3 linked regions of the Oreochromis niloticus genome follow. The protein of the gene in region 2 purifies or fractionates together with the protein of the main gene of each other region. This does not show direct contact. Links are inferred from orthologs where the notes say so. Each region holds a gene or a part of one and is shown on either strand. Other genes may lie near its edges.

The links.
Region 1: the proteins of mcm4 (region 2) and ssrp1a purify together in Homo sapiens (affinity purification with mass spectrometry; 4 studies listed by BioGRID and IntAct, counting the BioPlex papers as one, with this or other methods). This does not show direct contact. The link is inferred for Oreochromis niloticus from reciprocal best matches to the Homo sapiens genes MCM4 and SSRP1.
Region 3: the proteins of mcm4 (region 2) and sf3a1 fractionate together in Homo sapiens (co-fractionation; 3 studies listed by BioGRID, with this or other methods). This does not show direct contact. The link is inferred for Oreochromis niloticus from reciprocal best matches to the Homo sapiens genes MCM4 and SF3A1.

The regions. Positions count from the first base shown.
Region 1 is NC_031966.2:22,487,916-22,491,665, forward strand, and holds the start of ssrp1a (FACT complex subunit SSRP1a), read right to left. Parts: upstream 2,465-3,750; 5' UTR 2,312-2,464; intron 1,731-2,311; coding exon of another isoform or gene 1,673-1,730; exon of another isoform or gene 1,504-1,672; intron 1,498-1,503; 5' UTR 1,472-1,497; coding exon 1,418-1,471; intron 1-1,417. Other genes in the region: uncharacterized protein clcf1, read left to right, coding at 1,673-1,730. UniProt on the Homo sapiens protein: Component of the FACT complex, a general chromatin factor that acts to reorganize nucleosomes. The FACT complex is involved in multiple processes that require DNA as a template such as mRNA elongation, DNA replication and DNA repair.
Region 2 is NC_031982.2:18,517,252-18,521,001, reverse strand, and holds the start of mcm4 (DNA replication licensing factor MCM4), read right to left. Parts: upstream 2,232-3,750; 5' UTR 2,125-2,231; intron 1,469-2,124; 5' UTR 1,464-1,468; coding exon 1,400-1,463; intron 1,305-1,399; coding exon 1,146-1,304; intron 1,061-1,145; coding exon 897-1,060; intron 814-896; coding exon 712-813; intron 620-711; coding exon 524-619; intron 345-523; coding exon 249-344; intron 1-248. UniProt on the Homo sapiens protein: Acts as a component of the MCM2-7 complex (MCM complex) which is the replicative helicase essential for 'once per cell cycle' DNA replication initiation and elongation in eukaryotic cells.
Region 3 is NC_031977.2:11,771,722-11,775,471, reverse strand, and holds the start of sf3a1 (splicing factor 3A subunit 1), read right to left. Parts: upstream 2,964-3,750; 5' UTR 2,841-2,963; exon of another isoform or gene 2,822-2,840; intron 2,714-2,821; 5' UTR 2,683-2,713; coding exon 2,635-2,682; intron 1,963-2,634; coding exon 1,853-1,962; intron 1,763-1,852; coding exon 1,558-1,762; intron 1,457-1,557; coding exon 1,199-1,456; intron 1,101-1,198; coding exon 1,026-1,100; intron 934-1,025; coding exon 783-933; intron 685-782; coding exon 488-684; intron 294-487; coding exon 176-293; intron 89-175; coding exon 1-88. Other genes in the region: ccdc157 (coiled-coil domain-containing protein 157), read left to right, coding at 3,009-3,256. UniProt on the Homo sapiens protein: Component of the 17S U2 SnRNP complex of the spliceosome, a large ribonucleoprotein complex that removes introns from transcribed pre-mRNAs.

The sequences.
Region 1 (3,750 bases), on a different chromosome or scaffold from region 2:
AAAAAACATAACCCAAGGAAATACAAAATGCAATTTTTAAAATGATGATTTCAATTATTAAGAAAAACAAACAAACAAAAAACTAAAATATCCAAACATATATGGCACATCTTAAATCATGAATCAACTGTGATTAACGACATTTTTGGAGAGCTGAGTTCAATGCCACACTGAGGCCTGATTACTGCCAGACCTGTTTACTTAAGAAATCACTTAAATAAAACCTGTCTGACAAATCGTAGTTGGCTAAAAGATCCAAAACTGACATCTATAAGTCTGGAAAGGCTTATGAAGTCATTTTTAAGGCTTTGGAACTCCAGTGAACCACAGTGAGAGCCATTATCTACAAACGGAGAAAATTTGGAACAGTGTTGAACCTTGCCAGGTGTGGTCGGACTATAAAAATTACTCCAAAAGTGCATCAACGACCCATCTAGTAGGTCACAAAAGAACACCCAGAGCATCATCTAAAGAACTGCAGGCCTCACTTGGCTCAGTTAAGGTCAGAATTCATGACTGAACAATAAAAAAAAACAAGAGACAAGAGGCAAAAATGGCATCCTTGGGAGCATTACAGGGTGAAAACCACTGCTAGCCAAAAAGAAAACGAAGGCTCATCTCACGTTCGCCAAAAACATTTTGATGATCTCCCAAGACTTTTAGGAAAATACTCGGTGGATTGACCAAACAAAAGCTACCCTTTTTGGAAGGTCTGACTGGGGCTGCTTTGCTGCATCAGCACAACTTGCTGTAATTGATGGATCCATGAATTTCACTCTTTACCAGAAAGTCCTTAAGGAGAATGCTCATCCAGTAGTTGGTGCCCTTCAGCTCAGGCAATGTGATTAGAAAGACACCAGCAAATCTACCTTGAAATGATCAAAGGCCTAATCAAATCTGGACTTACATCCAATTGAGATTGCCAATTGCTTTGACACGATCTAAAACAGCGCATTTGTGACTGAAAACCTTCCAATGTGGCAGATAAAACAATACTGCAAAATTCCTCCAAAGCGATGTACAACTGCCAGTTATTGCTCCCAAGCGTGGCACAACCAGTTATTGGGTTTAGGAGGCAACTGGACCAGGGCCAGGCAGGTTTGGGTAGCTTTTTTTCCCTTAATAAATGAAATCCTCATTTTAAAAACTGCATTTTTTTTTAACTTACTCAGGTTATCTTTCTCTAATATTAACACCTGTTTGAAGATTTGAAAAATATGAGTGACACAAATAGGCAAAAACAAACAAACAAACAAAAAAGAAATCAGAACTGCAAATAATTTTGCTCTGACCCATCAGCTTATTTGCAAATAAGAGCACAGGAGCTGATGTTTGTCTGCCATGCCACTTCAAAACACAGTGCAATGAAGCCCTGAAAGAGAATTTGAGAGTAGAGCTGGCTGGTGAAGATACTTACCCAGGAGCCTTTAACCTCCTGGTAGATCTCGTTGAACTCCAGTGTGTCTCCCATTTTGGCTACAGGCGATAACTGATGCTCTACAGACAGACAGACAGACAGAGACGGAGGAAACGGCATTAAATACAACCAAACATCTACAACGAGGCTTATGGCACGCATGGTTTTAAAACCATTCCCAGATTGTGGCATGCTGGGGTCTGCATTTTGTTGTTGCTCCTCACGGTGGGAAAGTAGTGTGGTGTTGATGAAAACATGAACAAGCAAGCAGCGACTGAGCCAAAACACCCGAGAGGCAGAAAGCAGCCATCCTGTGAGTGTGCAAACTGTAAAAGTAGCTTTGTGTTGAATTGGGGTCTTTTCGTGTTATTTAATATTTCCGTTTATTAGTGTTTAAAGCACTGAGTGAAGTTCTGAGCCAGCTAACAGCTAACTATGAACAATTAAAAGAAAGCTCTGCCCGGCGAAATTTTACGAATATCGTTATCTTATGGCGTGAATGTTTCAGTGACAATTGGGTCTTTGTGTTTCTCGAAGCAACCCCTAAATATCATCCATGCTGCGCCACTAACAATAGCTAGGCTAACTTCAACTGCACAGGGACCGCTTCTTTTATACAACGATGTGGGACCGTTTTCAACTGAATCCTCACATTGCATACGGAACACGCTTAGAACGCCGCCCGCTTGGGCTGGTCCTAAGTTAAAATCCAGCGCTCCATCCACACTAGGCCGGTAAAAAGAAATCATGTAAATATTTGGAGTTATTGTAACAAACGACGTAGCTCAAAGTAATTAATTGTGCGCCACGCACTCCCCTCGTTGCTTACACTTATCAAAAAATGAATTTCTATAGAAGTGAGAATGCAGAGTTTAAAAAAACTTCAGTTCTTACTGTGACAGTGCTCAGCAGCTTCGCCTGTTTTCCCGCGTGTAGCATCGGGAGCTAGTCACAGGAAACACTCAAACGGTGGCTCGTATTTGCTTCCGGTTTTCAGACGTTACCCCCTCTTCCTTTGAATCACTGAGCTGTTTGGTGGGTAGTAAATTACAAGGATTCTGAAGTGGTTTGAAAGCTGAGGTCTGTGTCAAACTTGGACAAAATAAGTTAATTAAAAAATAAAATAAAAACATTGTGTAACGGAGGTGCGCAGGACAGAATGCGCTGCAGTAACTGCTCATCACCACTGGGTGGCACAGAGCACATCTAATGAAGCTAGTGTGGCAGCCTTTACTTAGTGCCAAAAAGTTTTATAACATAGTATTAAACATAAACTATAACAATACTGAGGGGTTTATTTTTAATAAATTACAACAAAAGAGTCAAATAGGAATATTGCATCATTCTAAATAGTTATTTAGACTCTTATAATACGACATATGGACAGAGGTAGGAAGGCCCCGGATCAAATAGGCTAGTACGCATGGTCCAACAAACCTTATTGAAAACCTTAAGGCAAAATGCACAGTTTGGCCTTTATTTCGTTTTAAAACAATTTAAGAAAATGCAACATAAGACAACAAAACAGAAATCGGCCAAATAAATGAACCCTCTTCCCCTTCAAAACAGGGACTCAGCAGGCCTAAATTAAAGCAGGACGCATTTAAGGCCCTTATCGTTTGAGGTGAGTTCAAAAGTGCGCTTTCACAGCGATTCACACACACACACACACACACACACACAATCTCCCTATATCAGCACATGAGGCTGAAACAAACCGACGAAGCTTTTGGCAAAGTCCTTGAGGACCCCCTCCTCCGTCTCCTCCACCTTAATCCAGCCTTGAGGATACACTGTCAGTCCGTATAACTAGACTACTTTATTCAACCACATGAACCGGTGGGCCTGACGGATTTTGGAATATCTCAGCGATTACGAAAGAATTTTACTTGGATCCGGGACAAATAAGAGTATCAGCAGCGGTGCTTCGGGGCGCGACACGGCGCTGCATGCCACGGGCTGATGTTCTGGCTGGCAAGCTGAGTGACAGCTGGAGGTGAGAGAAGAAGATCCAGAATAATCTCACTGTCAATAAAAAACTAAGAGCTGAGGAATGGAGGGAGAAGAAAAGAAGCGCGGTGCAAGCAAGCAAACACTTGCCTTCATTCTCCCGCAAAGAAACAGAAAGAAAAAAAAACAGGCGTAATATAGACGCAAAATATTTCCTTTAATATTTGCGCCCCAGTTTAATTAAAATACAGCCTTGATTTTTTTTTTTTGTTATGTTATTTCATTTTATTTGAGATTTTTGTGCAATATTAGTAGGCCTACTTTAAACGAATAGATTTAATATACATTTTTAAAACTAATTTGGTCTCTGCATAAAGAGGACA
Region 2 (3,750 bases):
ATTGTACATCACTTCTCCCTTTGCATTTGCATCCACTTATTTTATTTTTATTTATTCATTAATTTATTCAAGACATTGCTGTATCGCATTACTTCATTATAAAAATCAGAAGGCTGCCATTTCACTCATCAAGGGCTCAAGTTTTCATCCTCCGTTTAATCCGTACTCACACATACACCGAATGAGGGAATGAAAACAATGGTAAAGAAAAAAAATAAACAGATGATGGCAGATGAAGCGAGCTTTACCTGTGGGTAGCAGATGAGCTGTCTGTAAAGATCTGCATCAAAGGACTGCACGTGGCGGCAGTTCACGTTCATCACAGGATCGCCGACGACGCTGATCTGTGGGACGAGAAGAGAAGCACGTTGTGTGATATTACGTCTTTGAATACAATCCCGCGCAACCGCCTCCTCCTGTATTCTCTAATTTCCTGGCTATTGTTCATCATTCAGAAACACCATCATGCAGTGCGAGTCTGACTTAAACACGTTTGGAGCAACACAAACAATAAAAATTGCACCTCCTCCAGCTTCTGCATGTATAACGGCTCGTTCAGGTCCAGACCAGCGTTCTCATCTTCAGTGGAGGTCGGGTCAACAAACCTCTGGAGAAACCTCTGGAAGCAGCGGAACGCAAAGCATGCCAATGTTAACTCATGGACTGCCTACATGAGATTTATTATGGGATTTAGCTGCCTCGGCTCAATACCTGAAACTTTTCCTTGCAGGTGCCGACATTCACATCAGTCCCCCAGATCACCAGCCTCTGCCCGGCGTTCGACTCGCTGGCCACGGCACCATCTGTGCTCGGCTGAGAGAAGACAGTGAATAGTTAACTTCTGAGGGTTCGGGCTTCATGTGAGCTCAATACATGACAAACACAAGATTACTGACCGGCTCAGAGTGAAGATCGACTTGGGGAGCCTTCCTGACCGATCCCAGATCAGGACGCTGCCTGGCTGGTGTGCCCCGCACTCCGCTCCGTGGGGTTCCCTCAATCCTGGAGCTGGGGGTCCCGTACATCAAGGGGGAGCTCATGTCCACCTCGTTAGGGGGCACTGTTAAAAGGAGGCAGATTTATAAAACAATCCAAGAATCCAAAATTTGAGTCCACAAGACCACAACAACTCAAACACGTCATACCCGAAGGTCGGGGGCTGGAGAGCAGAGACGTGTCCTGGGGTGCTGCAGGACTGAGCACGTCCGTGGCTGGGGAGGTGGGCATCGGCATCAGGTCCCCGGTGGAGGAGTCCTGACCTCTGCGGCGCTGAGAGGGAGGCGAGGTGGGGTCCTCGCTGCTGGCTAAAGTCGCACAGACACGAAGAAAAGTAGGCAACGGTCATCATACAATCACAGGAGGTCCATATGCAAAAGGTTGGAGCAAGTGGGGAACTTACGTGTGGGTGGATTGGTGTTCCTTCCACGCTTACGGCCACCAGGGGTTGAAGCTGGAGAAGACATTGCTGCTGGGAAATCAACAAAAGGTGACACTCAGTGAAGGAAATGTAATAACACTTGTTACATACTGTCGCTCTGGCTGTGGGACATCACTGATGGTGATGGCTTCAAGTTTGACTGAGCATTTGGAAAACTGACATTCACAGATGTGGCTGGCTGAAAAACTTTAATTATTTCCTTTTTGTTTTATTAGATCTTTTTTCAGCTTTGTGGAGAAAATGACATGAGATGGATATAAACTGTGGGCAGCCTGCTTTTCGCTACTTGGATACTTGGATCCATGTTATGAGTGTGTGCTTGAATCGCTTCCAGATATCAGTCAAACAGCAAGAAAAGTTCACTTAACTATATAAATGACACTTCCGGCACGCTGATATGCTACACTGCGTGTCTTTTTTAGAAGTTTTGAAGTGTCTTATTTTCACTAAAGCACTAACTGCATTAAACCCTCGACCTCCATTTGACATGTGGCTGCAGAGCACACAATAAGCTGATCCTCGACTGCGATGTTTTAACTTCGATTAACATTAAACGTCAGCGTAAAACAACAAAACACCTTCGTGCACGTTTAAGTCAACCTGATTCGCGTATCACGCTTTCACGAAACCACCAAAACTACCGACGTAATAACCTAAAAACTATCATTATACATGTCTCTTCTTACCCCTTCTTGTGTATACGTCCGAGCGGAGAAGATGTGGCGCGAAACTGCGGGTGACGTTATTTTCGCGGGGAACTTTGGGCCAATGAGAGGCTGGGATTGTCTTTCTTTTCTTTCCGGTCGATCCCTTCACCGAAAAAGGGGGGTTCTTGTCCAGCGTTTACTTATCCGGCTTCAGTTTAGCATCTTGTAGACTCAATAAACAAACGGATTAAATAGGAAATAAATAAATAAATGAACTTTTATTTTTTAATTTTGATATGTCAAATAAGATCTGCGTTTCCTGTGCGCTCATGTGCTCCTTCAAACCCTCAATCGATTTGGTTTGGCCCAGCAGTAAGGGACTTTTTTTTTGCCCCTGCCCTAATCTTTATTGTAACAATCCAAACAACACGCAAGTGTGAAACCGCCTCCCAAATACAAAATGACAGCAAATCCGTGACAGGCTACGGATGTAAAGATGTAGCATTTGAATTAATACAACAGCAGAAGCTAACCGGGAAATACTATTCACCCTCTTTTCCTAGTCTACATGCAGGATGTATGTTCACCCGGTTATGTTACAGCGGTGGTTGTACTGGTTTTCACTACAGTCAGAGGTACTCATGTAGGCCAGTGGGTGAGAAGAAACAGCTCTCAGTATGATGAGGTCCAGCGCATCCCACATTTTTGTGTTCACAGTAATGCACAGAAGTTTGTGTACACTCATTGTGGCCATGACTGTCATGATGATTTGGGGTTTTTAATGATTTCTTTAACTGATTTTTTCCCCTGTGTTGAATGATTGTACAGCATAAATCTTTAATGGCTCCACATGCACTCACTTAAATCTTTTTATAACTGGTACTGAAGGTTCTGCAGTGTCTTTTAACTCAACAAGGAAAGGGCCTATTAATTTCCCATTGTTGATTATGATCGACTATAAGTAGACAATGCTGACCAACGGAGAATCATTGATGGCTACCAAAAGCATCTGGGTGAGATGCAACTTGACATTTGACCAAATATTAGTAGGGCTGTATAGTATATCTGAGTCTGTATGTATACATTTGACCCTGGAAAATGAACAACTCAGAAATCATTAAAAACCCCAAATTCACCATGACATCAATGCCCATGATGAGCATATGCAAACTTCTGACTACAGATGTAGAGAAGGAGGACATGCAGAGGTTTGGCGTGACAGAGGAAGATGCTAGGGACAGGGTGAGATGGAGGCTGATGATTCACTGTGGTGACCCCTAAAGAGAGCAGCTAAAAGAAGAAAGCCTAAAAATAATTTGAATAATTTTACATGAGTTTAATACATTAAGTTATGTCATATAAAGCTAACAACTACAAAGCATCTGCACTTTTTGTGCTGGGTAAGCAAGTTTATGGCTTTGATCATGTTAGCACTTTCACCTGTATCCTCTCCATGAAGCACAGATTCAGATGCATTCATGTAGCTTTGATCTGCTTCACTCACAGTGAAACAGGTGGTGTACTCTGCACTGAGTCAGCTCCACCCTGACCAAGGAGAAGCAGAACTCCATTCTTCAGAGACATGCCCCACCCTCTGGTTTGCACAACATGCAGCAAAATAACGACCCCAGAAACACCTCAAACTCTACGAGAATACTTGCACAC
Region 3 (3,750 bases), on a different chromosome or scaffold from region 2:
TGCATCTTACTGGCCGGGATCTTCTCACCGGTAATGGGAGAGATGAGGTACTCGTCTGGAACTGCAACTGAGGGCTGAGGCTTGGATGCTGTTATGAAAAGGTAACATTAGTTAAAAAACAAAAACAAACACGTTGTACAAAGTAAAAACTTGCTCACATAACGAACAGTGTTACCTTTGGGGTCGTAGTCTTTGCGAATGATAACCTGATCTGGAGTTGGAGGCAGTGGAGGTGGCATGGGGGTGTCTGGTGGCAGTGGAGCCTTCATGCCATCATCATCATCATCAGATCCCTAAAGAAAGCAGCAGGGGATGAATCGATTTTGTTACAAGATCTTAAAGTTTTCTTCTTCTTTTTCTTTCTCCAAGCAGTGGGTTAGAAAAGATGTCATTTAATTAAAAGAAAAACATATAGTATCAAATCTATAACTGGTCAGACACGAACAGCTTACAATCCGCAGTAATTAATTACTCCATCCATTCTAACCTCATCCATGTCCTGCACTTGTGTGTCTTGATCAGGCTGTGAAGGCTGGCCTTCACCCCTATCCTCCCGCTCATCATCTTCACCCTCGCTCTCCACTTCCATCTCAACCTCCTCACTCTCTCCAAACTTCTCATAGCGCTCCTGGATCAGGATGCGAGCGCCGAGCTCCTCTGGTGTGGTAGGTGGTGGGAAGTGGCCTAAGGAAGTTGAGATGCCAATAAAGATTAAATGATTGTACCAATATTTAAAGGTGGGGGTTACTATTCAAAGATATAGTTACTGTGGTTATAATTACCTTGTTCATTAGGTTGGAAGTCCACCGTTTCGACCACTACAAAGTCATGCCAGTCGATTTGGGCATATGCTACTCGTTCCTTCTCCCTTTCCTCCTCCTCCTTCTTCCTCTCGCGCTCCTGGTACTTTGCCCATTCAACACGGTACCTTACCTGATGGTTGGACAACAGGACATATTACAAACATGGGAAAGAGCAAATGTAAACGGCTATTTTGAGAAGCAGTCACTGTTAAAACGGAATACCTGGTCCATAACCTCTTTTGGGTTCTCGGCTTCCTTCTTGAGTTTGGTCAGTAAGCCTTTGGGAGGGATCAGAATCTAAAGGATTAAAGGTAAGAATCAAGATAATGCTTAGAAAGTTTAGAATCACCACTTGAATAAATACACACCCAGAGAAGCCCAATCTGTTAAGTCACCTTAGTATACTGCTCCACCAGCTTGGTGAAGTAATTGAAAAGGCTGTGCTGTGGTCGCAAAAAGTCAAACTGGTAGTTCCTCTGTTCCTTCTGCATGAGCTGAGTGAGAAACTGGCGGCCATTGCGAGCAACAAACTGGGCAGTGAGCTTCACAACATCCAGGTCAAATGCTGAGATTGATGGAGGATCTGCAATGAACTCAAACTCGGGGGGAGGTTCTTTGGGGACCACTGTCTCCTGAATTACCTGTGACTGAACCTAAAGAAAAATGTAAAATATTAGTCAGGGTCAAAGACTACCAGTTTTATTTTGTAATTAAAAAAATAAAATAAAGTGCAAAGTGAAGTTCAATGACTTACTTTCTGAGGAAGCTGCTGGGACTGTTGCATAGCCTGCTGCATAACTTTGGGCACTGCTGCAGATGGCTCTTGAGCTTTCCCCTCCTTAAATTCATTGACTTTGTGGCGATAGTAGGCATGGTAGGGGTCATTCGGGTTGAGAAAGTTAAACTTTGGATTGTTGATCTCGTTCTGACGAATTCTTGCTTCAAATTCAGGCCCGTTCCTGTGAATTGGCAAGAATTAGTTATGCCATATACATGAAATCCGGTTACCTTTACATATTTAAAATGCTGCCACATATAAAATAACCAACCTTGCAACAAAGCTGGCTGTCTTGTCAACAATGTTTCGGACCTCGGGAGGTGGATAAATGATACCAACAATAGGTTTTGTGGCTGGGGTTTCTTCTGCTGTTGAATCATTCTGTTTCACAAAAGCACATTTGTTAGTTAGAATAAACCAAAGAAGGGTTAGATGGATAAATAAAAGAATAAGGTTCAAAAAAGAGAGTGGACCACTTAACATCCACCCGATTTTAAATCTTTTCCAACTACACCAAGTAATATTTCCCCTGCTCTACTACAATTTATAACACTCAAAGCATAGACAACATTTTGAAAAACTTTATATTTCGCTGTACTAGTCCACACAGGAGACTAATGAAATATACGGTAAAAACTACCAAGTGCTCTGATGAAAGTAGGTCGGTGAATTTTCTGCGTGAAAAAGTGTGGTTCTGTACAAAACACATTGATTCAAAGATCTGTTTTCAATTTAGCAAGTAACTTGCCGTTGTACTGAAGTGACAGCAAAGTCTCAGCTATTACCTTCAGGTTCAAACTGAGATTTTAGACGCTGTGTGTAGATTTACCATCAAAGGTAACTACGGGCTAGCAAGGTTTAATGCTGCGACCTCAAACGTTTAGCGAAAGAAAAAAAAGATAGACGCTACCTGTTCGCTAAATTCAAAAATCACAGAGACAGTTCAAAGTGTAGAAAGACAAAAATTAACCCAGTTCACAAGTTAGCCGAAAAAAAGCAAGCAGTATGTAGGCTGCACTGCTGGCATTAGCTAACTAGCAGCGGTACCCTTACCTTGTTGTTAGCCTCCGGCTGAACGATTTGAACAGGCCCAGGCGGCATGGCTGCGACTTATTGTAAAACTGGAAGTTACCTGCAAACACAAAACCAACAAGAAAAAAAATATGTATTTTAAACAATCCTTTTTAGCAAATGCTATGTCAACAATAAAGGCTACAGGAGCTAAAAGCTTAAAATTTACCGTGGTTAAACACACTTACTACGTCGCGCTTTCGTTGACCCAATGGAGATGAATTACTTCCGGAAATAACCCGCACAGCATTGTGGAACTTGGAGTACTTTTTTTGGATGTTGCCAAGGAGATGCGGTATCAACAGACTGCACAGTGTTTTTCAGAGCTGTGTCATTTATAAAATAGTTTGTCAGACATGAGTCAGTTGCTGGGTAGTCAGGACTGTATCGAAAGCCTCCGAAAAGACCTGGTTGACCTTCAGGGAGCGATTCTGGACGTGTTTTCTCGAACCGGACCGCTCCGCTTTTCTTCCTGGAAGTTCCCGGACAAGCACTCCTGTAATCTAGACATGGTAGCTCTGCTAGAGCAGTATGACTTTGTGGATGGGGAAGATGCGTTCAATCAGCACTCCCACATTGTTTTACTGGAGTTGGTGGTTGACAGGTAATACATAACAATGACAATTTTATTGTATAGCACATTTACATGAAAACTCAATGTGCCTAACACAGAAAATTAAGAAACATAAAAATGTTAGATGTTTTAATATTGTTATTTTTATTATATGCACAGTGAAAGAAAATCGCGGTTTACACTGTACAATGAAATTCTTATTTTGCCAGTTTCCCTGTTGTGCCCATGCCTTGTGGATGTTTGCAAACAGACCTGTACAAATTAGTGCAGTAGCAGATACTGATAGTACAGTAACAGCCAACAGTAGTGATGGTGTGGGAGAGGGGCAGTGCTGATTGTCTCATTCAGGAGTCCGATGGCCAACAGCTAGAAGCTATTTGAGAGAGTATTAGTGCTTGATTTCAGTCGCCTGTAGAATCTACCTGAGGGCAAAAGTGTGGAGAGGTGGTGGGTGTGTATTGTCTCTAAAAATGTTGTGAGCCCTTGTGACGAACCTGGTCGTGCAAATGCCGTGTAGTGATGTG